Oryctolagus cuniculus: one gene and its partners. The protein of the gene in region 2 purifies or fractionates together with the protein of the main gene of each other region. This does not show direct contact. Links are inferred from orthologs where the notes say so. Each region holds a gene or a part of one and is shown on either strand. Other genes may lie near its edges.

Region 1 (5,203 bases), on a different chromosome or scaffold from region 2:
GTTTGGGCCCCTGTACCCACATGGGAGATAGGGACGAAGCACTTGGCTCCTGGCTTCAGATCAGTGCAGCTCCGGCCATTGTGGCCACTTGGGGAGTGAACCAACAGAAGGAAGACCTCTCTCTCTCTCTCTCAGCCTCTCACTGTCTGTAACTCTACCTCTCAAATAAATAAATCTTTAAAAAAATATGTCTGAATCCCAGCTGTGGGCAGGAACGGACTTTTCATTTTTCCTATGAAAGACAAAATTAGATGTGGCTAGATACCTGCTTACGTGTTCCAGAATGTTCTTTGAGAGTCAAGCACAGGAAGCTGTCAGTCGCCTCTTTGCAGTGGTGCTTCAGCCACGTCAAGCAGACCTTTACACATAAATAACATGTTTTTAGGCCTCGCTAATATCCAGTGCTGATGATTCTAAAGTGCAATTACTCAAAAAAGGACAACCCTTCATAATTCAATTACATCTACTCAGTAATATTGTTGCTTCCCTTGATAAAAAAAAAATCCAACCAAGAATCACGTGTACATTTAAAATATAGGTATAAGAACTAGACAAAGCTCAGGGATGAATGAGTTACTTTGGAATTATCAATTAATTCCCTTTTAGTATGCCTGGTGAGGCTCTGCAAATGCACAAGTAGGTGTTTTTTTTTGTGCTATGAATAAGTTCTTTTTAATAGAAAACTTTTATTTAATAAATATAAATTTCAAAAGTACAACTTTTATATGATAGTGATTCTTCCCACCACACCCAGCTTCCCACCCGCAAACCATCCCATTTCCTTCTCCCTCTCCCACCCCATTCTTCATGAAGATTCATTTTTAATTTTTAATTATCTTTATATACCGAAGATCAACTCTATCCTAAGTAAAGATTTCAACAGTTTGCACCCACACAGACACACAAAGTGTAAAGTACTGTTTGAAGACTAGTTTTACTGTTAATTCGCATAGTACAACACATTAAAGATAGAGGTCCTACATGGGGAGTAAGTGCACAGTGACTCCTGTTGTTAACAATTGACACTCTTATTTATGACGTCAGTAGTCACCCAAGGCTCTTGTCATCAGGAGCTGCCAAGGCTATGGAAGCCTCTTAAGTTCGCCAACTCTGATCTTATTTAGACAAGGCCATAATCAAAGTGGAAGTTCTCTCCTCCCTTCAGGGAAAGGTACCTCCTTCTTTGACGGCCCATTCTTTCCGCTGGGATCTCACTCACAGAGATCTTTTACTTAGGTCATTTTTTGCCACAGTGTCTTGGCTTTCCATGCCTGAGATACTCTCATAGGCTTTTTAGCCAGATATGAACACCTTTAGGGCTGATAAGAGTAAGTTATTAACACAACACTTTCTTCCCAGCGTTGAACTTGGGGAGGCAAGAGTTCCTAATGCCCTCAGTCACGTGCGGCTTAGTGGTGAAGATTTGTTCAGAGAAAGGCACTGTGATCTGGACCTTGGGTGAACACCACTGAGTGACTGACACAAACCAGGATGGTCATGATGATACACTCTTGGGGAGACCACCACTGTTGCTTGTGGACTGCGATCATCAGCACTGGGGAGGGTGTGTCAGGGAGCTAAGATCATTTCCTCTTTGGCCTGAAAACTTCCATCAGCCGTCCAGATGCCACAGAAGTCACCTGCAGCTATACCAGCGGCAGACATACCGCGTCCATCTGGAAGGTGCCAGGGAAGTCTGCGCTGAGCAGCTCCGGGGGCTGGAGACTCCTGGCTCTTCCATGATGAACTTCTCCCTTCTACACCATGGGGCTGGCCTTCCTGCCCCTTGGAGGAAAGGCTTTGAACGCTCAGAAAGCAACACCTCTAAGACCCACGTAGCTGTCACCTTGGGACCACTCTCTCAAGTGCCATCCCTCCTTGCCCCTCAATTAGAAAGATGGCGAGGGCAATGCATTTAACGTGGAATAGGGCCCCAGATGGAAACCCCTGGATGTGGAAAAAATGTCCGACTCTTGAGTTTTTTCACATTTCAGGGAACCACACCCGCAGTTGGAGCCGGAAGACCCCCCCCCCACACTGTTATTACTGGGTCATTTCACTAGATTTGGGCAGCATGCCTCCAATCTCCCTGAATTTCAGTTTCCTAACCTGGAAAGCCCTGGTGATAAAACCCGTCCTCTCCCAGGACTGCGGTGAGTAGGAAATGATGTAACTCAGAGAGAAGCGCTTTATTCAAATGCAAAGCACATCTGGTGCGGGGATTCAAAATGCCTGCCTGGCTCCTCGGCCCCTCCCACTTGGCGGAGACGCCGTCCCCACAGACTGACTGGTTCTCCTCCAAACTTTATTCAGCCGACCGACCGGGCCTCGCCCTGTGGGGAAGCGTGGTTTAATTTCATCCTTCTGGGGGTGCGGGCTGAGTCTTCGGTCACCGGGCCCGTGGTCTGCTGCCTCTCTCAGCGCCGACCTCCCTCAGCACACTGCTAAAGGAGGGGCTGAAACGGGGGAAGGCCGTGGAGACGAGCATGGCAGGGCCAGCCTCATCCACACGAATCGCCATGCGCCCCGGAGAGCCGCGCCGCCGGCGCCGCGGTCCGCACCTGGTCTCCGCGGGGCGCCGCACAGATCGAGGCACCTCCTCCGCCCGCCGCTCTGGCGCACTGCGCCAACAGGGGCGAGGGGAGGGGGCACAGACACAGTGCCCGGATGCGGGAGCAGGCTGAAGGCTTAGGGAGTGGCCCTCACCCCGCTTCTCCCCCACCTTTTTTTTTTTTTTTTTTTGGCGGGGGAGATGGAAGATACCAAATCTTGGCGCAGAGGCGGCATGGCGGCCCTCAGGCAATACAGCGACTCTGCAACCTCTCTCTGCAGATTCCGCTGGGCTGGCACGTGCAGGCTGCAGTCTTGCCTACGCTCACACAAACCGTCCACCTGCGTCTCGCTACGCTACCCCGTCTTCCACTTTGCAACGCCCCTGCGCTTTACTCCCGGCCTTGTTGCGCCTCCGCACCCTCCACCACGTGCAACCTGCGAGAACCTTCTCGCGGGTCTCTGCTTCCTGCCGCCCCCCTCGGCGTCGGTGCACGGCAGTACTAGCGTCGGCGAGCCTGGGGGGTCCCCCGGTGCGGTCGGCGCCGCCTGCGCCACACCTTTCCCACTCCTACTGCCACCCTCTCCGCCACGCCTTCCCTGTGACAATCCCGGTGCCTAAATAAGCTGGTCGCCCCTTCCCCCTCCACCAGCTCCCACCCGGGTAAAACGGAGCGGGGCGGGGGGGAGAGTTCTGCGGCCTCGCCCCCGACCCACTCCGCAATGTGGCGGGGGAGCGGGGCGCCGGGGCTGCGCCCATGGGTCCTCTCCGCGCGTGCTCGGCCTGCTACTTACGGTGGCGCCGAGAGCGGCGAGCGCGCCCTGCGCTCCGCATCCATTAGCCGGGGGTCTGGCCGCTTCACTTCCGGAGCGCGGGGCTCCGCGAGGCGCCGCCCTCCCCCCCCCCCCCCGCCCGGGTCCCGCGCGCGCCCCGCCCCGCCCCACGTTGCCGGGAACCGGCCGCGTCTCGGCTCCGGCTGCCGCAGCGGCGGCCCTCCCAGACTCAACTTTGCCGCTAGCTTGCGCGGGGGGCGTGGGCAGGGAGGGGAGAGAGCGGGGTCAGGGGGCGGGGCCGGGAGGGTGGGTCGCCCGCTCGCCAGCCCGCCTTCCTTTCTGTGCACCTTGCGGTGGGCAGAGAGCGGCAGCGCGGTCTGTGCACGCGGAGAGGGAGCCTGAAGGACCAGCGCACGCACGCACGGACGGGACCCTCCCCAGCCCCGCGCCATGGCCGAGAGGAAGCAGTCCGGGAAGGCGGCAGAGGACGAAGAGGTCCCTGCCTTTTTTAAAAATCTGGGCTCGGGCAGCCCCAAGCCGCGGCAGAAATTCTGTGGCATGTTCTGCCCGGTGGAAGGGTCCTCGGAGAACAAGACCATCGACTTCGATTCGCTGTCGGTGGGCCGGGGCTCGGGGCAGGTGGTGGCCCAGCAGCGGGACGTCGCCCACTTGGGCCCGGACCCTCAGACGCCGTACTCGCGGCAGGGCCGGCGCGCCGGCGGGGAGCCATCTGTTGAATCCGGCAGGAAGGTGGAGATACGGCGGGCCTCGGGCAAGGAAGCCCTACAGAACATCTACGACCAGGTGGGTGTGTGCGGGGAGGTAAGTGGGTGCGGGCGCTCGGGCGCCAGCTCGCCCCTCGCCCCTGCAGCCTGGGCGCCTGCCTTCGTGCCCTGCCGCGACCGCGGCCTCTCCGCCTCCGCACGCGCACCCCACCCTGCCCGCCCCTTCTGCGCGCAGGGCGCGGCGGTGGGCGGCCGTGCGCCCACAAAGGCTGCTCGCGCTTCCCCGGGCTCGGGGGTTGGGAAGTGGATGGGCGTCAGGGACTGGCCGATCGGGGTCTGGGAGGAGAGGGGGTCGCCCTGGGAGAGGGGTGGGCCGCGGTTCCATTCTTCTTAAGTCCTCCCGGGCCGGCGGCTTCGGGTTGCAGTTGTGGCTGGGAGCCCCACCCTTTTTTTGATGCAGCTCGGAGCGTGCGGTGGAGGTTGGCGTGGAGGCCCGCGGGCTCCCGGGGGGTCGGGAGGGGCGAGGGCTCGGACCGCCGCTCGGCGCCGCACCTGCTCCGGCGCCCTCTCCGCCCAGGTCCCGAGCTCGGAGGTCAGGACCATGGCCAGCGCCTCCCTGGCCCGCCTGGCAGCATCACCACGCTTGGTTCCTGTTTGCCTGGAGAGAAGAGTGAGGAGGCCGTGGAATCCCCCGGTGGAAACCAAACCGCTGCTAAATAGTCCGTGAGGAGAACAAAGTTCCGCCAAGTGTTTCCGCAAGGGCTTCCCAGAGCGCTCCCACCGCTGTTTGGGAGGCACTTTGGGGCAGGCCTTCAGTGGATTGCATTCAAAGGGTTAAAAAAAAAATAGAATACGGGGGAGGGGAGGAGAACCCCACCCCTCATAGCTGAGATAGATTGTCAGATCAGACCCTTTCTACTGTGTTCATGTGGAAACAAAGAAGGCCAGTTTGGTCGACCTTGATTTTAGGAAATGTTTGCCGTCCACTGGCAAATACGAATCTCGAGCCTTGGAAGTCCAGTAGTTGTCTCACACACAGTTTTTTCTCCATCAGGATGACCTTTGCCCTTGTGCAGTTTTTCACAGCCTCATTTCTCAACTGATAATTTCCAGTGCGAAATATCTTCACGCTTCTTTGCTGTTTCTCTTCCAAA
Region 2 (4,502 bases):
TCAGTTAGAATGGCTTTCATATAGAAATCAACAAACAATACATGCTGGTGAGGGTGTGGGGAAAAAAGGTACCCTATTCCACTCTTGGTGGGAATGTAAACTAGTAAAACCACTATGGAAATCAGTTTGGAGATACCTCAGAAATCTGAATATAGTCCTACCATATGACCCAGCCATCCCACTCTTGGGAAAATCAGCAAGTAAAAGTTATCTGCACCCCCATGTTTATTGTAGCTCAGTTCACAATAGCGAAGACATGGAATCAACCTAAATGCTCATCAACTGAAGACTGGATAAAGAAATTATGGGCTATGTACTCTATGGAATACTATATAGCAGTAAAAAATGAAATCTGGTCATTTGCAACCAAATGGATGAATCTGGAAAACATCATACTTAGTGAAATAAGCCAGTCCCAAAGAAACAAATATTGTATGTTCTCCTTGATCTGTGATAACTAACAGAGCACCTAAAAGGCAATCTGTAGAAGCAAAATTGACACTTTGAGCAGAAATGACTTGAACAGCCCTTGTCTTACTACTAAGGACAGTTTTTTTGTTTTTGTTTTTCAATTGTTCTTGTTATTGTTGTTTTTTCATAATGGAGAATGGGACTGGGAATGGGAGAGGGAGGAGGTGGGGTGGGAATGGGGGTGGGAGAGCAGGTATGATGCGACAAATCACTATATTCCTAAAGTTGTACTTATGAAATTCGTACTTATTAAATAAAGTTTCCTTTGGGGGAAAAAAAGAGAAAAAATATACATCTATACAAACTGCCAGTTCTTCTGGTAGATCTGTAACCCAATCAAGTGAAAGTTATAATTCCTAAATAGAATCATTTGAAAACAACAGATGAACTCCCACTTAAGGCAGAATAATAATTGGCATTTGACTAAAAAACAAGATAATAAATAAAATAGCATAACATAATATAAAATACCTCTCTGGCTTTTTCTAGAAGATTTTGGTATTTCTTTAATACTTCCTCCTTTTGATTTAACCTTGCTTGCATATTTGCAATGGTTTGGTGTGCAATTTTCAACGTGTAATGAGATTTTGGTTCCACCTCTTTCCTGCTTAGCTCAGCAATAAGTTTTTCTCGTTCTGCAGTAGCAGGCAATCGAAGCCTCAGTTCATTGATTACTTTATCTCTTGACAGAATATTTTGCTCTGCTAACCGTAAAGCAGATTCTTTTTCTTTAAGCTTCTGTAATCAAATCATAGTAAATTATTAATTTATGTTATTTCCTTTAAAACACATTATCTGAATTTCAGTTAGTTACAAACAAAAAAAAGAATTTCACTTATTTTTTGCATATTTAGCAGCCATCTGATTTTAGTAATATGAAACTGACTATTTGAAGGTGATAATACAATTACTTGCATGTACATTTTAATATGTGTTAAAAACCACTTTTAGGATGATGATAGAATTAAATTTGGATACTTTAGATCCTATAGCTGTGTAGTGGTACAAGATTGAGAAAGAAATATAATAAATAATCTCTTATTTTGGCCTGCTATCTGGGCACTAGAATAATCCGTTAAGAGTCAGCTGAGTAGGGCTGGTACTATGGTATAGCGGGTTAAGCTGCAGCCTGCAGCGCTGGCATCCCATATGGCACCAGTTTGAGTCCTGGCTACTCCAGTTCTGATCCATCTCCCTGCTAATAGCATGGGAAAGTAGCAAAAGGTGGCCCAAGTTCCTGATCCTTGCCACCCTTGTGGGAGACTCAGAAGGAGCTCATGGCTCCTGGCTTTGGTTGGCCTAGCCCTGGTCACTGTGGCCATTTGGAGAGTGAACCAGCTTATGAAAGATCTCTATCTCGCCCTCTCTCTCTGTAAGTCTGTCTCTCCAATAAATAAATAAATCATAAAAAAAGTCAGCTGAATACAAAATTAGAATTTTAGAGGACCAGGTCCATGAATCACTACTATGAAATCTAGTTAAAATGAAGCAGAAAAAAGTTTTACTTTTCAGTATGATTAAGACAGACATTTGAAATCAAGGAACTCAGCAATAATTCACATACATGACAAGTCTGATAATTATTGAAGAAAAACTAAGTTTTCTGAATTTATTAAAATGTACAATACACTTGAAAGATTGCTTTAAAATGTTTTTATAACTAGCATGTTTAGATAGAAACTAAAACGAAACACTCAGTTTATATTATTTTATGAATAGTTTAATAAAGACATATTTGATCATTTACTAATCAAATTCAAGACCTAGATTAAAATATCAAGTAATTTCTACTTTACTTTCAATCCTTATATCCCTCATAGAAATGAATGAACTGAAAATTCATCCATAGAGAATGCAATACACACTTCAAAAGAAAACTTAAAATAAGGATGAAAAGATCATCTAGCAGAAGGTAATATACAGCTCATAAAGCTAAAAATCAAATGTTCATTTTGCTTCCTTTTATTCTCATTGTTACTGAACATATGCCCCAAAATAACAAGTAGTAATTAAATGAGTAGTGAATTCAAATTAACTATATCTGGTGTCCACTGTCAGCTATTAGAAACTTAATAGTAGAAAAGTAAAACAGTAGAATTAGAAACAGATTCAATTTTCTATGCCTTATCATTAGTATTAATAAATATTAATTAGAAAAGTCAACAAGCATACCCAATAATACACTAATCAAAATGCAAATTCTTATAATTACCTCTTCTAGTGATTTGCATGTTGCCTGTGTTTCTAGAATTATCCGAACATTCTCCTTAATTTTTCTTAGAGCAATCTCCAATTGATTTGGAAGGGGCAGACTGGGGTCTGGCATCGATCCTGTAGCTGCTTCAAACTATTAGGAAAAATAATATTTTTAAAAAAGATTTTTAATAACAATATTCTTACAACTATACAGTAAAATATACATTAAACTTGACTTATATTTTAAATATAAAAAGATGACATCAATTAAAATTTCATCTGATTTAGAAAATATTTCAGTTAATACTCCTTAGACCAGGCTACAGAGTAGGAAACAGCATTAATCATTTATACCTTTTGTGCTGCATTGAGTATTTCATTTTGCTGATGGTCAAAAATGTCTAATTGACGTTCCAGTTCAACTTCTCTTTGATCCCAGGCCATTTGTCTTTCTTCATGAAACTGAAAAAGTACAGTTTGTATGTTTGTGTGTGTGTGTGCATGTCTCTCGCATATTCACTCTTTCTCTCTCTCTCTCTCTCTCTCTCTCTCTCTCACACACACACACACACACACACACACAAACTCCAAGGAATTTTACATACATATTCTTATTTCATCCTCACAACAACATTTTATAGTCACTGATATCATTCTCATTTTATGGAAAAGGATACAAACTCAGAGAAGTGAAGTAACTTGCCTGCGATAATAGAAATAGGCAAGTATGAATTCAGGATTTCAATCTGTTCACCCATTCATTCATCCCTCCAAAAGATAACTAGTGACAAATAAGCAAATTGTATGCTAAGGACTATTCTAGGCAATACACACACGGCAATGAAAAAAACCAAGTCCTTTTCACCACAGAACTTAGATTCTGGTGAGGGGAAGAGAGACAATGATAAGCAGGTGATATATATAATAAGTGCCAAGAAGAAAAATGAATAGAAGTAATCTTTATTAGGGAAACTCAACAGGAGTTTGTAACACAAGTTTGTTGTTATCTAAGGAGGTGAGTGATAAAGTGCACCTGATAGAGCCCCAGAGGCTGCACTGAGAAGGTAAGATACTTAAGGTCAGATCTGAAGGCAGTAGAAGCACAAACACCACAGGCATCTGGGTAAGAACATTCAAAGCAAGGGAACAACAAATCTATAAAGCAAGCATGTGCTTGATGAATCTGGTCTGTCTCTAAAAAAACATGCTTTACTCTATACCACAATACCTTCTTCTCCATCAGTGAGTTAAACTTGCAATTGTGAAAACTCAAATAACAAGTATCAATTTGAAAATTAACTTTCCAAATAAGTTCACTTATGAATTGCTCCATTTTAGTTGAAAACTACTGTTATGACAACTATACAGATGTGCATTTTTAAAACAGATTATTTTATAATCTATTACTAATCAGTGATACATTCAACTGGGAGAATAAGCTAGTCATTCATGCAATGTTCTTATGTATAAAATTTTAGCAAAAAAAACCCAGTAAAGTAAATTAAATAAAACCTTGTTCTGCTGCACGATTTCTTCCTCCAAACTGCTGATTGTTTGTTCATATTCAGATATTATATTATTCAAGTATTTTATTTCTTCTTTATCCTTGACTAACTCTCGATTTAGCTTAAGTTCTTGAAGACGAAGTTCTTCTATTTTCATATGCCAATTAATTACCTAATGTTTATAAGTTAAGATATAAATGTAAATTTTATATAAATATTCTTCAATAAATCATAATTTCAATTGAAATTAATGGACATTCTGTAATAAAACATGATATAAAGTCATCCTTGATTGAGCTACATTGCAGTTTATTTATGATTTCTATAGAC
Region 3 (4,502 bases), on a different chromosome or scaffold from region 2:
GGAGTCTCCCCTGGGTCTCCTACATGGGGTTGGGGCCCAAATACTTGGGGCATTTTCTGCTGCTCTCCCAGGCACACCGGCAGAGAGCTGGATCAGAAATGGAGCAGCTAGAACTTGAATTGGCACCCACACAGGATGCTGGCATTGCAGGTGGTGACTCTACCCACCACACCACATCACCGGCCCAGGTACTTTGATTTCTAAAGTTAATAGGGGTAATGTGCACATGTATCAATTTTTCTTTTCTCTTTAGTTCCTAATGTTAATTATTTAAAAGGAACTATTTTGATTTAGAGTACTAACATATAAAATTATATTTATTTGTGCATTCACAAACATGAGAACTTGCTTGAATCCCATCCCAGAAAGTCTAGCTTGAACAATGTTGTCAAGAGTTAGCATATTTAATCAAAACAAAAACATAAGGCTTTATTTATTGAAGGAAATCATTCATTTAAAAACTAAAATATAAAAAAATCCATTTATTAATGGTTTTAACAATATATTTTAAATTTGGCCTTTAGTAATAAAGTAGGAATAAGCAGTTTAGAAAGTTAGGATATAAGCCATAGTGTAAATATGACAAACCCCTTCAGTGGGGTATAGTTCATTAAAAATCAAATAGCTTGTTTAAACAAGGAAAAAGCAGGCTAACATTTATTTAATAAATGCATTCTTTCAGTTATTTAATCAGGAAGTGGTTTAGGCATTAAAAACATCTGATTTTACTGCCTTCTTTTAAAAAGTGATTGTAATCTTTTTTCTATAATTTTTAGCATAGCAGTAAAAAAGTAAATGCTGCTCCTAAATTTTAATGATAGGATGTGTCAATAAAATAGCTTTGATATCGCTTCTCCTATAGCACTTTCACTTTAGCACCTATTTCATTTTGCCTTGTATCATACAATTACATGATTTTCTATCTCTATTTTAAGTTCTGAAGTACAAAGCCAGTGACTTTCTTTATTTCTTCAAATATTTCTCAGCAAAGAGTATATTAGATACTTATTCAACAAAAGAAAGGATCACGATCCTCATGAAGCTTATGGAAGGAAATCTGAGAGTCAGTTGCAAATAGAAATATGAACAATAGCATATTGTACAAAGGAAAAGTACAATCAAAGCACCACAGCAGGTTTCCAATACTTGTTAAGCAGATAAAGATAGAAGTAAATTCTGAAAATCAGAATAACTACATCCCTCAAGAACAAGCAGATTTATTGCTTAATTTTACCTTAATATCTGTGTAAGCTGGGAAATTGTAGTCCAACCACCCTGGATTCGAGAGCAATCTTGACTAAGGACCAAAAGGCAATACTGAATGAGGTCATAACAATATATATCTTGTTTGATTTTCTTCAATTCTGAGCTTCCTAAAGGTGTGTCATTTATTATTTCTAAGGCAAAGAGAAATAAGATATACTTATTTTTGTTCAATATATCCAAAATCTACTTGTATTTTTATATGTTGACTAACCATTAAAAATAATTAAAAGGTAAAGCATTATCACTGTTATAGTATAGATTTCTCTGGACAAATGAGAAGTTGTAACAATGATGAAATTATTTTTTATTTAAACCACATTACACAATCACAAAATGATTTTCTTACCTTTTAACTTCAACAATATAACAGGAACATTCTGCTCAGGACTTTTTGCAACTTCAGCAGCTAGAGATAAAATCCTTGGGTCTGTACCTGTTGGCTTCATTTCTTATACAACCTACATTTTTAACAGAATAGAGAATAAAGTATTCATTACCTAAATAATGTTTGTTACATAAATGAAGATAGCTTTTCTTGCCTTATTTGAAAAGAGAAGAGTAAATTTTTATCACATCTTGGGAAATAGTGGAAATAATGGCAGTTTAACGTACTGTACCACAATTCCTGTCCCAGGCTTGCTCTTTTGTAACAACCCTGTAATGAGGACTAACCAGGGTCCACAAAGAACAATAATCCCTTCTGAAGACAGCCTCCCAAATGACCTATTTATTTCATACTAAACCCCACCCAAAAAAGTCCCACTCTCTTAACACCATCACACCGGGGCAGTTTCCAATACATTAACCATTGAGGGACAAACCAGATCCAAACCATAGCAGTGACCCATCTTTCAATAAAAATTCTAGTCACTGGGGCAGGTGTCTAGCCTGGTGGTTAAGATGTCAGTTAAGGGGCTGGTGCTGTGGCATAGTAGGTTAAACCAAAAAATCTGTCATGATTCTAACAGCATGTGGTGACAAATTAAATCAAATCAGTTTGACTCCAAAGTCTATGGTTTTAAATACTATATTCCCTCCTATGTAAAATAATAATACAAATCATATTCCCAAATATCCTACTTCTCACTTTTTTCTTTTTTTGACAGGCAGAGTTAGACAGTGAGAGAGACAGAGAGAAACGTCTTCCTTCCGTTGGTTCACCCCCGCAAACGGCCGCTACGGCCGGCGTGCTGCGCCGATCCGAAGCCAGGAGCCAGGTACTTCCTCCTGGTCTCCCACACGGGTGCAGGGCCCAAGGACTTGGGCCATCCTCCACTGCCTTTCCAGGCCACAGCAGAGAGCTGGACTGGAAGAGGAACCAGGACAGAACCGGCGCCCCAACTGGGACTAGAATTTGGGGTGCCAGCGCCGCAAGCAGAGGATTAGCCTAGTGAGCCGTGGCTCCAGCCTCTCACTTTTTACAACTATTATTCTTCACAACTAGCACTATGGTTCATCCTTTATATTGAAGAGTTGGCCATCACACAATAAATCATCTCATTAAGAAAAATATAAATCATTAATAGATAATACCTGGTCAATGGGAAGCCCAAAACATTGCAAAAGAGAACACATAATAATCTCATTCTTTCCAATGGTTAAATTACACTATGTTTCCTTTATAAAGGTGCATCAAGATATATTCAAACCTCGCCGTTATTTGAGGTCATTCAGGTTAACGTTAGCATTAAGCAATGCTACAATGAATATTGATGTATGCATCTTTATGCAATCATGACAGAATTTATATAGGATGAATTTCCCTTGATATTGGGTCATAGGATATATATATTTTAAATTTCAAGTAGAATCAGTTTTACTCCAAAGTGATTGTTCCAGTTTATACTTCTACCAAAATATGACGATTCTCATTTTACTGCACTTTTTAAATACTTAATGTTAACTTTCACATTTCATTTGCTAAATGAAAGATGGTATGATCTTGTTTTAATTTGTATTTCTTTGAGTATCAGGTAAGTCAGGCACATTTTATGATCACTGGCCACTTTTTCTTTTTATTATTATTATTATTTATTTGAAAGGCAGAGTTACACAGAGAGGGAAACAGAGAGGGTGATCTTCCGTCTGCTGGTTCACTCCCCAAAGAGCCACAACAGCAAAGGCTGGGCCAGGCCAAAGCCAGGAGCTCCTTCCAGGTCTCCCACTTGGATGCAGGGGCCCAAATGCTTGGGTCATCCTCTGCCACTTTCCTAGGCACATTAACCGAGTGCTAGATCAGAAGTGCAGCAGCTGGGAATTGAACTGGTACCCATTTGGGATGCTGGTGCCACAGGCAGTGTGTGACTTAATCCACTATGCCTGCCCCTCATTTTTTCTTCTATATATTTTCTATTCATATCCCTTAACCTTTTTTTATTGGCTTGTTGTATTCTTTTTTAAGCTTTTCACTTATGAATATGAGCTTTTATTTAATTTGAGAGGCATAGAGGCAGACAGAGTTGCTATTGGCTGGTTCAGTCCACACATAACCGCAACACCTGGGGTTGGGCCTGAGGCCCGAGCCAGATGCTGGGAGCACAATCCAGGTCTCCCATGTGGGTTGCAGGAACCCAATTACTTGAGCCATCACTGCTGCTTCTCAAAGTTTACATTAGCAGGAAGCTGGAGTCAGGACTTGCAGCTAGGAATTTAATCCAGGTACTATGTATGGAATGTATCTCAACTACCAAATTAAATGCTCACTCCTAGTTTTATAACTTTTATGCAAATATAACAAGCTTTTCCTCTCCACTTCAGCCTTTTGTATCACACTTAGAAGATCCTGTCTACCCCAAGAGCTAAAACACATCAAGTTTTTTAGTGTTTCTGTGGTTTTTCTTATATTTATACCCATGAATGGTTTGAGAAAGGAATTCAACTGTATTTTCTGAGTTAGAGGAGGTTACAGACTGGTTAAAAAAGGACAAATGCACAAAGAATTAATAAATTCCTGAGGTAACTGGTCATGAATAGACACAACACAAACCATGTGAAATGCCATATTTTCATACATTAAGTATACATACACACAGAGGATATATTTTTGGATTCTATTTTGTCTGTGTATTTATTTTTGTGTTAGTCCAACATAATTCATTTTAGTATATATTTAGAGAAAATTCACACCAGAAGGTAAGGTAAATCTACCTTTTGTAGTGGCTGTCTTAATTTTCATTTACTACTATAGCCTCAGTGGCTAGACAGGTGCCAGGTATATGGTAGGTACTTAATAAATA
Region 4 (4,502 bases), on a different chromosome or scaffold from region 2:
CCCTCCTCTGTATTTACATTCCCTGGTCTTCCCTTCCGCTGTCACTGGACCCCAGATCCGCATCGACAAGCTTGTAGATAAGTGGTCGGGATCCATCGAGATCGGTGTCACCACGCACAACCCCAACAGTCTGGAGTACCCAGCCACCATGACCAACCTGCAGTCAGGTGCCCGCACTGGCAGGGGTGGAGGCGCAGGCCTGGGGTTTCCTGAGGGGAAGAAGCCTGTGTCCTAACCAGGGCGTCCACCTCCCGCACCAGGCACCATCATGATGAGCGGCTGTGGGATCCTCACCAACGGCAAAGGCACCCGCCGCGAGTACTGCGAGTTCAGTCTGGATGAGCTGCAGGTGCGCGGGGCCCAGAGCCTCCGGCCGCCCTCCTGGGCGACGCGGGGATTCTGTGTCCCTGGCTGGCCGCCATGCATTCAGTGGTCTCTGACCCAGAACTGAGGTTCCTTCTGAGGAGGTGGGGTTGCCCGGCAGCCTCTAAAATGAGGCTGTTCACAGCGCAGCACGTATTTTATAGGTTGAGGTTTGAGGGAGTTGACGCCCGTAAGACGGTTTAACTCAGCGCCTGACTTGCACTGAGTGTTCAGGAACTGCAGACGTGGCCATGTGTGGAGAACAGGGCCCGGGCACCTGTCCTCCTGTGCCCCAGGGTGATCTGAGGCTAGCGTGGACATCTCTGGGAGCTGCTGTCCTGTGGAGGGGGTGGCAGCAAGGCCCAGCGCTGTTCTGGGGCCTGACGGTGGGTAGATTCCAGGCTCACGGCTTTTCTGCTTTGAATAGGAGGGAGACCACATCGGCCTCACGAGGAAGTCCAACTCTGCCCTGCACTTCTTCATCAATGGCATCGACCAGGGTGAGGGGCTGCTCGCAGGTGCTGTTGGGCCAGAGCTTTCAGCCGGACGGGGAGCATAGGGTCAGGACCTCAGCCTCCTGCCTCTTGTGGGTGCTCGGTTTCCCCGTGGTTGACTCCCCTCCCCCCGTTCTCCACTGCACAGGTGTGGCCACCCCGCTGACGCCCCCAGTGGTGTACGGTGTGGTGGATTTGTACGGGATGGCAGTGAAGGTGACCATTGTCCACAATAATAACCACAGCGACCGTCTCCGCCGCAACAATGCCATCCTGCGGGCACTGTCCCCCGAGGGCGCCCTCCGCCGAACCGCTCCTGCCGCCCAGGCGGAACCCGAGCGCCTGCTCTTCCACCCTAACTGTGGACAGAAGGCAGCCATCACCCACGAGGGACGCACTGCCCTGAGGCCCCAGTATGGCCCACGGGGTGGGGAGAAGCCTGCAGAAGGGGCTCTAATGGGACTGGAGAGGGGGTGGCTGGACAAGTGAGAGGCAGAGGGAGTCGGGTCTGGGGCGTTTTGGACAGGAGAGTGGGGCGCCTCCCGCAGTGGGAGGTTCAGTTGGTTGGCTGGGGCTGGCGGGCGTCACTGGGGGAAGCCTTGACACCGAGTGTTGGGATCTGACTCCCCATGTGCTGTGCCCTCAGTGCCACCGACGACTTCAATCATGGCGTGGTACTCAGCAGCAGAGCCCTGCGGGATGGAGAGGTGTTCCAGGTGCGCATTGACAAGATGGTGGACAAATGGGCTGGCTCCATTGAGATTGGCGTCACCACTCACAACCCTGCCTATCTCCAGTTGCCCTCCACCATGACCAACCTGCGCTCTGGTGAGCTCCCGAGAAGGCCAGGGCCAAGGTGGGGTCCCAGGGAGGAAGCTGTCCCCGAAGCCCTGACCCTCATCCTCATCTAGTGGCTGGGGAGCACCCAGTGGGCAGGGCAGAGCTGTTCTGCGGGGGCTGCCATGCAGAGGAGAGAGGCCCCGCCTTCCCTCTCGTGTCCTCTGCCACTCCTCATCCCCCTAGGGACCTGGATGATGACCGGGAACGGGGTGATGCACAACGGGACGACCATCCTGGACGAGTATGGGCACAACCTGGACCGCCTCAAGGTGGGAGAGTGAGGGTCCTATCTGGGCACAGCAGCAGGGGAGGCAGGCGAGGGGGGCCGATGCAGGACCAGCCCAGGCAGGAACTCCGCCTGACTCCTCACTCTAGCCCCCCTTCTTCCAAGGCAGGGGACACGGTGGGCGTGGTGCGGCGGGAGGACGGGACGCTCCACTTCTTCGTCAACGGGATGACTCAGGGCCCCGCCGCCTGGAACGTGCCTCCCGGCGTCTATGCCGTCGTTGATCTCTACGGCCAGGCAGCCCAGGCCACCATCGTGGACGACGTGGGTGAGGGCCGGGCAGCGCTGGGCAGGGGCTTGGGGTGGCCTTGGGAGGCCTTAGAGACACCTGGCAACCCGACGGGTGACGTCCACTCTTGCAGAGGTGCCCCCGGTTCCTGAGCCCCTCCCTGAGGGGAACAACCAGGTGTCCCCGAGCTCTCCGTCGTCAGGGGCCGGGGGCTCTGACCTGCGCTTCCACCAGCTGCACGGCAGTAACGCCGTCATCACCAACGGCGGCCGCACCGCGCTGCGCCACAACTGCCGCAGCGAGTTCAACGACGCCATCGTCATCTCCAACCGGTCAGTCTGCGCGCTGGCGCTCCTGCTTCCCGCGGCCCCGCCTCAGCCTCCCCAGGGCCTCTCTCACTGCCGCCTCCTCGGCAGGGCCCTGCGCGACGGAGAGCTTTTTGAAATTGTCATTCAGAAGATGGTGGACCGCTGGTCAGGCTCCATTGAGGCAGGTGAGGGACATCTGTGTGAGTGCTGGGGGGTCCTGGGGCCTGTGGCCTCGGGGTCAGTGCTGACCAGTTCCTGCCTCCTCCCCAGGAGTGACTGCTATTCGGCCTGAAGACCTGGAGTTCCCCAACACGATGACCGACATTGACTATGATACGTGGATGCTGAGGTTGGGCTTCCTGCCTTTTTTTTTTTTTAAAGATTTATTTATATATTTATTTATGTGAGAGGCAGAGTTACAGAGAGAGGGGGAGAGAAAGTGAGAGAGGTCTTCCATCCGCTGGTTCAGTCCCTAAATGGTCGCAACGGCTGGGGCTGGGCCAGGCTGAAGCCAGAAGCCAGGAGCTTCCTCCGGGTCGCCCATGCAGGTACAGGGTCCCAAGCACTTGGGCCATCCTTCGCTGCTTTCCCAGGTCTTAGCAGGGAGCTGGATTGGAAGAGGAGCAGCCTGCCAGTACTGCAGGCTGAGGCTTAGCCTTTGATGCTGTAGCACCAACCCCAGGCTTCCTACTTTTAAGAGCAGCTGAGGGGAGGCTGAATGGAGCCGGCTGGGAGGGGCAGAGCCAGGGGACTGGCGGTCCCTTCTGTCACAGAAGCCCTGCCTAGCCCTACAGGAACTCGATCTTTCTTCCTTGTAGGATGGTTTCTGCTTTGCCCTGGGGGACCTCAGGATGGGGCTTCTGGCCCAGACCAAGACCCCAGTCTGGGTCTGACCAGCAGGGACTGAGCGGGGGCCAGTGTGGGGATGAGGCTGGGAGGCTGAACACACTCCTGCCGTCCCTGCAGCGGCACCGCCATCATGCAAGACGGCAACACGATGCGCAACAACTACGGGTGTGACCTGGACGCGCTGGGCACGGGGGCGCGCATCGGCATGATGCGCACCGCCAAGGGCGACCTGCACTACTTCATCAACGGCCAGGATCAAGGCGCCGCCTGCTCAGGCTTGCCTCCGGGTAAAGGTGACTACTCTGTGGCTTTGGGCCTGCACCCTCAGGCCGTGCATCCCAGACCTCGGGCGTCTGACCGTGGCTTCCTCTGCCGTCCAGAGGTGTATGCAGTCGTGGATCTCTATGGCCAGTGTGTGCAAGTGTCCATCACTAACGCCACCGGCCCCATGGACAACAGCCTGGCGACCAGCAACAGCGCCACCGAGAAGTCCTTCCCCCTGCATTCCCCAGGTGCAGTGGCAGGGAGGGGGCTGCAGGCTCTGCTTTCCTGCTGTGGGCCCTGGGGGTGCCGCAGGCACAGCCCACAGTGGCACGCTGTCAAGTGGGGGAGGTTATGCCTGGTACACAGAGCCTGACACCGTGGCCTGGGCGTGCCAGGTGTGGGCACGGGTGGTGTAAAGGTGTTGGGGCTCTAAGGAGTAGTGGCAGAGGGGGCCCTTTGTGTCCACTTCCCACTTCATCTGAAGGCTCTGCCCTGTGTCTCGCGTGAAGCCTGCAGCCCCAGTCCTACCCCTTCCCTGGTGCCGTCTTTCACAGTGGCTGGTGTGGCTCACCGATTCCATAGTACCTGTGGCAAGAACGTCACCCTGGAGGAGGACGGCACGAGGGCCGTGCGGGCGGCTGGCTATGCTCACGGCCTCGTCTTCAGCACCAAGGAGCTCAAGGCTGAGGAAGTCTTTGAGGTGGGCTGTGCAGGTGGGACAGTGGGCGCCGCGGGCAGCACGGCAGGGCCAGCTGATGCTGTCTCTCACGCAGGTCAAAGTGGAAGAGCTGGATGAAAAGTGGGCGGGGTCCCTCCGGCTGGGACTGACCACACTAGCCCCAGGGGAGATGGGGCCTGGGGCAGGCGGT
Region 5 (4,502 bases), on a different chromosome or scaffold from region 2:
GCACCTGCCTGTGAAAGCAGTAAATGATGGCCCAAGTACCTGGGTACCTGTACCACGTACCCACATGGGAAACTGGGATAGAGTTTCAGCCTGGATTCAGCCTGGGTTCAGCCTGGCTTAGCCTTGGCTGTTGTGGCTATTTGGAAGGTGAGCCAGCAGATGCAAAATAACTCTCTCTCTCCCTCCCTCTCTCACTCCTTCTCTCTCTAACTCTGCCTTTAAAACAAATAAATGAATCTTTTTTAAAAAATATGCTTTCAGTGTATTGTAAAAAACAAACAAGTAGAGGCCAGCGTTGTAGTGTAGCAGCAAAGCTGCCACCTGCAGTGCCGGAATCCCATATGGGTGCTGGTTTGAGTCCCGACTGCTCCACCTTCAATCCAGCTCCCTGCTAAAGTGCCTGGGAAAGCAGCTGAAGATAGCCAAAATCCTTGGGCCCCTGTAACCAGGCGAGAGACCAGGAAGAAGCTCCAGGCTCCTGGTTTCAGATCTGCCTAGCTCCAGCCAGCACAGCCATATGGGAGTAAGCCAGTGGATGGAAGACCTCTCTCTCTGCCCTTGCCAACCTGTAACTCTGCCTTTCAAATAAATAAACCTTTGTAAAAATTTAGGAAAAAAAAGATGCGGCATATACTTCCTAGCCAAAAAAAAAAAAAAAAAAAAAAACTAAACTAATATTAGCTACATGGTATAAAATATGTTATGACAGCAGTAGCATAGTTGTCTGAATCAACTATGAATCCACCACACCCAAACAAACAAAAACAACAAATCCACTTAAGAAATGGGCAAAGGACTGAATAGACAGTTCTCAAAAGAAGAAATACAAGTGGTTAACAAATATATGGAAAAAAGTTCAGTATCACCAGCCATCATGGCAATGCAAACCAAATCTACAGTATCACCCCACTCCTGTCACAATGGCTATTATCCAAAAGACAGAGAGCAACAAATGCTATCAAGGAAATAGAGAAAAGAGAATTCATATGCTGCTGGTGGGAATGAAAATTAGTGCAGCCACTACGGAAAAGATTATGGATATTTCTTTTTAAAAAAATTTTTTTTGACAGGCAGAGTGGACAGTAAGAGAGAGAGAGAGAGACAGAGAGAAAGGTCTTCCTTTTTCCATTGGTTCACCCACCAATGGCTGCTGCAGCAAGCACACCGCGCTGATCTGAAGCCAGGAGCCAGGGCTTCCTCCTGGTCTCCCATGCGGGTGCAGGCACCCAAGCACTTGGGCCATCCTCTACTGCCCTCCCTGGCCAAGCAGAGAGCTGAACTGGAAGAGGAGCAACCGGGACTAGAACTGGCGTCCATATGGGATGCCGGTGCTGCAGGTGGAGGATTAACCTAATGCACCACAGCACTGGCCTCAGATTATGGAGATTTCTTAAAAAACTAGGTATAGACCTGCCATATGACATAGCAATTCCACCACTGGGTATATACACAAAAGACACAAACCTATTGTATCAAAGAGATATCTGTTCCACCATGTTTATAGCAGCAATATTCACAATAGTGAAAATATGGAATCAACTAAGGTATCCATCATCAGATGAATGGATAAAGAAAATATTGGTGTGTGTATTTATACGCACACATACACATAAACACAGGAATATTATGAAGCTATAAAAAAGAAAGAAATTCTATCATTTGCAGTAAATGGTTGGAACTGTACGACATTATGTTGGGTGAAACAAGCTAGACACATAAAGACAAATACCACATGTTCTCCATTGAATGTAGGAGCTAAAATTTAAAAAGATAATAATAATTAAAGATATTTCATGTGTATCAGCACTGCTACAAATACAATACTTTGTCAAACTTTGTATTAAATCTTTGTTAAATAAATTGAAAGGAATTATATACTATTATAGTTTTAATGATTTTGCGACTACTTTAAAATTTATATGACCAAAGTTGAACATCTTTTCCTTTGATTATTGTTTAATAGCTCTTGCCCATTTACCTTCTAGAATGTTCTTTTTGCTTTTTATTTGTTGAATTCTTTATTTAATAGAGCCATTAGCCTTTGACTATAATGTAAACTTAAAATTTATCTAAAAAAAAAAAAAAAAAGCTTGGGGCTGGCACCATGGCAGAGTGGTTAAAGCTGTTGCCTGCAGCACCAGCATCCCATATGGATACCAGCTAAAATGTCAGCTGCTTCACTTCTGATCCAGCTCCCTGCTAAATGGCCTGCAAAAGCAATGAAAAATGGCCCAGTCATTGGGTCCCTAAATCCTTGTGGGAGACCCAGAAGAAGCTCCCGGCTCCTGGCTCAGGCCTGGCCCAGTGCTGTCCACTGTGGCCATTTGGGGAGTGAATCAGTGGATGGAAGATCTCTGTCACTCTGTTTTTCAAATAAATCTTAAACAAACAAACAAACAAAAAAACAGAAAAAAACAAAAAGCACAACAACAAATTGCTTCTGGATCCCAACTTGGAAGGACTGATGAAAAAATCATAAATATCCAGAATTATTCACTCAATAGTTTTTATATTCATATATTTATGGTCCTGTTTTACTTTAAATATATTCAAATTAGAAATGTTACAGATTTTCTTATGCCTTGGCTTATGCCGAAAGAATGCTGGATTCCAAATAGCAAAGAAGAAAAACCTCGATTGGACTTCAAAAGATTGAAAAATGTACACTTATATGTTTCAGGTTAAAATATTTAGGATGTTGGGACCGGCACTGTGGTGTAGCAGGTAAAGCCACCACCTGAAGTGTTGACATCCCATATGGGCACGGTTCAAGACCCAGCTACTCCACTTCCGATCCAGCTCTCTGCTATGGCCTGGGAAAGCAGTGGAAGATGGCCCAAGTCCTTGCACCCCTGTACCTGCATGGGAGATCCGGAGGTCTCCCTCCTGGCTCCTGATTGGTGCAGCTCCGGCTATTGCGGCCATTTGGGAGTGAACCATTGGATGGAAGGCCTTTCTCTCTCTCTGCCTTTCCTTCTCGCTGTATAATTCTGACTTTCAAATAAATAAATAAATCTTGAAGAAATATTTAGGATGTTAGGCCGGCGCCACAGCTCAATGAGCTAATACGGCACCAGCACACCGGGTTCTAGTCCCAGTCGGGGCGCCGGATTCTGACCTGGTTGCTCCTCTTCCAGTCAGCTCTCTGCTGTGGCCTGGGAGGGCAGTGGAGGATGGCCCAAGTGCTTGGGCCCTGCACCCCATGGGAGACCAGGAGAAGCACCTGGCTCCTGGCTTCGGATCAGCGCGGTGCACCAGCCGCAGCGTGCCAGCTACAGTGCACCAGCTGCAGTGGCCAATGTGGGGTGAACCAACGGAAAAGGAAGACCTTTCTCTCTGTCTCTCTCTCTCTCTCTCACTGTCCACTCTGCCTGTCAAAAAAAAAAATATTTAGGATGTTAAAAAGAAGAACCTGGGGCTGGCACTGTGGCACAACAGGTTAAGCCATGGCCTCCAGCGCCAGCATCCCATATGGGCACTGGTTTGAATTCCAGTTGCTCCACTTCTATTCCAGTTGCTCTCTGCTAATGTATCCGGGAAAGCAGAAGAGAATGGTTCAAGTCCTTGGGCCCCTGTACCTATGTGGGAGACCAGGAAAAAGCTCCTGGCTGCTGACTTTGGCCAGGCCTAGCTATGGTTGTTGTGGGCATTTGAGGAGTGAACCAGTAGATAAAAGATCTCTCTCTCTGTCTCTCTGTCTCTTTGTCTCTCCTTCTCTCTCTATACCTCTGCCTTTCAAATAAATAAATCTTAAAAAGGAAAAAAAGAAAGAAAAAAAGAACTTGACACTCCAAACCAACAAAACAGAACTCCAACAGGATTTTTAACCCACCTCCTTATTTCATCAGTTAAGCAGACAATGTGCTCCTGCATTCTGCGCAGCCGGATTTCATAGCGCACATCTTTGGCTTGAGGGTTGTAGTTCCTGGCATAAAAGCCCCGCCAACAGGCCTGAAGCTTAGTGGCTGCCTCATTCAACTTCTGAAGTGCAATTTTATCTTCTCCCAAAGCAACAGATCTCTGGGTTAAAACCCTGCAGGGAACTTTTTCTGAAGCTGTTTGAGACATAGTTTCTTCACTGTCTGGCTGTATATGAGAGATGTGTCCAACTGACTCAGGAGAAGATGTAAGATTATGGTTATCATCCTTTAGGACAGCACTGACTAGTGTTGGCTCAGAACAAGGTAACAGCCTACTTTTCTCATTTACCTCTTTACTCATCTCATTTTTTATCGGTTGAACACAATTCTCATTTGCAGCCCATAAAGACTTTTCCTCTTCCTTATCCAAGTTCTGGTTTTCCAGTCGTATCATAGATTCATCTGTAACATCATCATCTTCTAGGCACAAGTTAATGCCCTGTAACTTCAGCTCAACTGTAGGAGAGACTGGAGATAGTCCTGAAGTAATTGGCATAAAAGTAGATTCTGAAGAGAGAAGGCTACAGTTTAATTTGTCCTCATCAGTCTGTATGTCTTCAAGGTGTAGGTCATTTCGAGAAT

Evidence for each region.
Region 1: the proteins of CEP290 (region 2) and PNMA2 purify together in Homo sapiens (co-immunoprecipitation; 3 studies listed by BioGRID and IntAct, with this or other methods). This does not show direct contact. The link is inferred for Oryctolagus cuniculus from reciprocal best matches to the Homo sapiens genes CEP290 and PNMA2.
Region 3: the proteins of CEP290 (region 2) and IQCB1 purify together in Homo sapiens (co-immunoprecipitation; 8 studies listed by BioGRID and IntAct, counting the BioPlex papers as one, with this or other methods). This does not show direct contact. The link is inferred for Oryctolagus cuniculus from reciprocal best matches to the Homo sapiens genes CEP290 and IQCB1.
Region 4: the proteins of CEP290 (region 2) and NEURL4 purify together in Homo sapiens (affinity purification with mass spectrometry; 3 studies listed by BioGRID and IntAct, with this or other methods). This does not show direct contact. The link is inferred for Oryctolagus cuniculus from reciprocal best matches to the Homo sapiens genes CEP290 and NEURL4.
Region 5: the proteins of CEP290 (region 2) and CEP97 purify together in Homo sapiens (co-immunoprecipitation; 4 studies listed by BioGRID and IntAct, with this or other methods). This does not show direct contact. The link is inferred for Oryctolagus cuniculus from reciprocal best matches to the Homo sapiens genes CEP290 and CEP97.

Annotation. Positions count from the first base shown.
Region 1 is NC_091433.1:47,728,744-47,733,946, reverse strand, and holds the start of PNMA2 (paraneoplastic antigen Ma2), read right to left. Parts: upstream 3,444-5,203; 5' UTR 3,346-3,443; intron 359-3,345; 5' UTR 266-358; intron 1-265. Other genes in the region: DPYSL2 (dihydropyrimidinase-related protein 2), read left to right, coding at 3,775-4,128.
Region 2 is NC_091442.1:90,754,455-90,758,956, forward strand, and holds part of CEP290 (centrosomal protein of 290 kDa), read right to left. Parts: intron 4,345-4,502; coding exon 4,180-4,344; intron 3,130-4,179; coding exon 3,022-3,129; intron 2,819-3,021; coding exon 2,684-2,818; intron 1,210-2,683; coding exon 943-1,209; intron 1-942. UniProt on the Homo sapiens protein: Involved in early and late steps in cilia formation. Its association with CCP110 is required for inhibition of primary cilia formation by CCP110.
Region 3 is NC_091435.1:78,107,514-78,112,015, forward strand, and holds part of IQCB1 (IQ calmodulin-binding motif-containing protein 1), read right to left. Parts: intron 1,725-4,502; 5' UTR 1,713-1,724; coding exon 1,613-1,712; intron 1,398-1,612; coding exon 1,235-1,397; intron 1-1,234. UniProt on the Homo sapiens protein: Involved in ciliogenesis. The function in an early step in cilia formation depends on its association with CEP290/NPHP6.
Region 4 is NC_091448.1:51,923,267-51,927,768, reverse strand, and holds part of NEURL4 (neuralized-like protein 4), read left to right. Parts: intron 1-55; coding exon 56-167; intron 168-260; coding exon 261-349; intron 350-790; coding exon 791-863; intron 864-1,005; coding exon 1,006-1,270; intron 1,271-1,503; coding exon 1,504-1,685; intron 1,686-1,880; coding exon 1,881-1,966; intron 1,967-2,088; coding exon 2,089-2,251; intron 2,252-2,345; coding exon 2,346-2,544; intron 2,545-2,628; coding exon 2,629-2,705; intron 2,706-2,790; coding exon 2,791-2,869; intron 2,870-3,486; coding exon 3,487-3,662; intron 3,663-3,749; coding exon 3,750-3,881; intron 3,882-4,187; coding exon 4,188-4,333; intron 4,334-4,406; coding exon 4,407-4,502. UniProt on the Homo sapiens protein: Promotes CCP110 ubiquitination and proteasome-dependent degradation. By counteracting accumulation of CP110, maintains normal centriolar homeostasis and preventing formation of ectopic microtubular organizing centers.
Region 5 is NC_091435.1:56,374,858-56,379,359, reverse strand, and holds part of CEP97 (centrosomal protein of 97 kDa), read right to left. Parts: coding exon 3,833-4,502; intron 1-3,832. UniProt on the Homo sapiens protein: Acts as a key negative regulator of ciliogenesis in collaboration with CCP110 by capping the mother centriole thereby preventing cilia formation. Required for recruitment of CCP110 to the centrosome.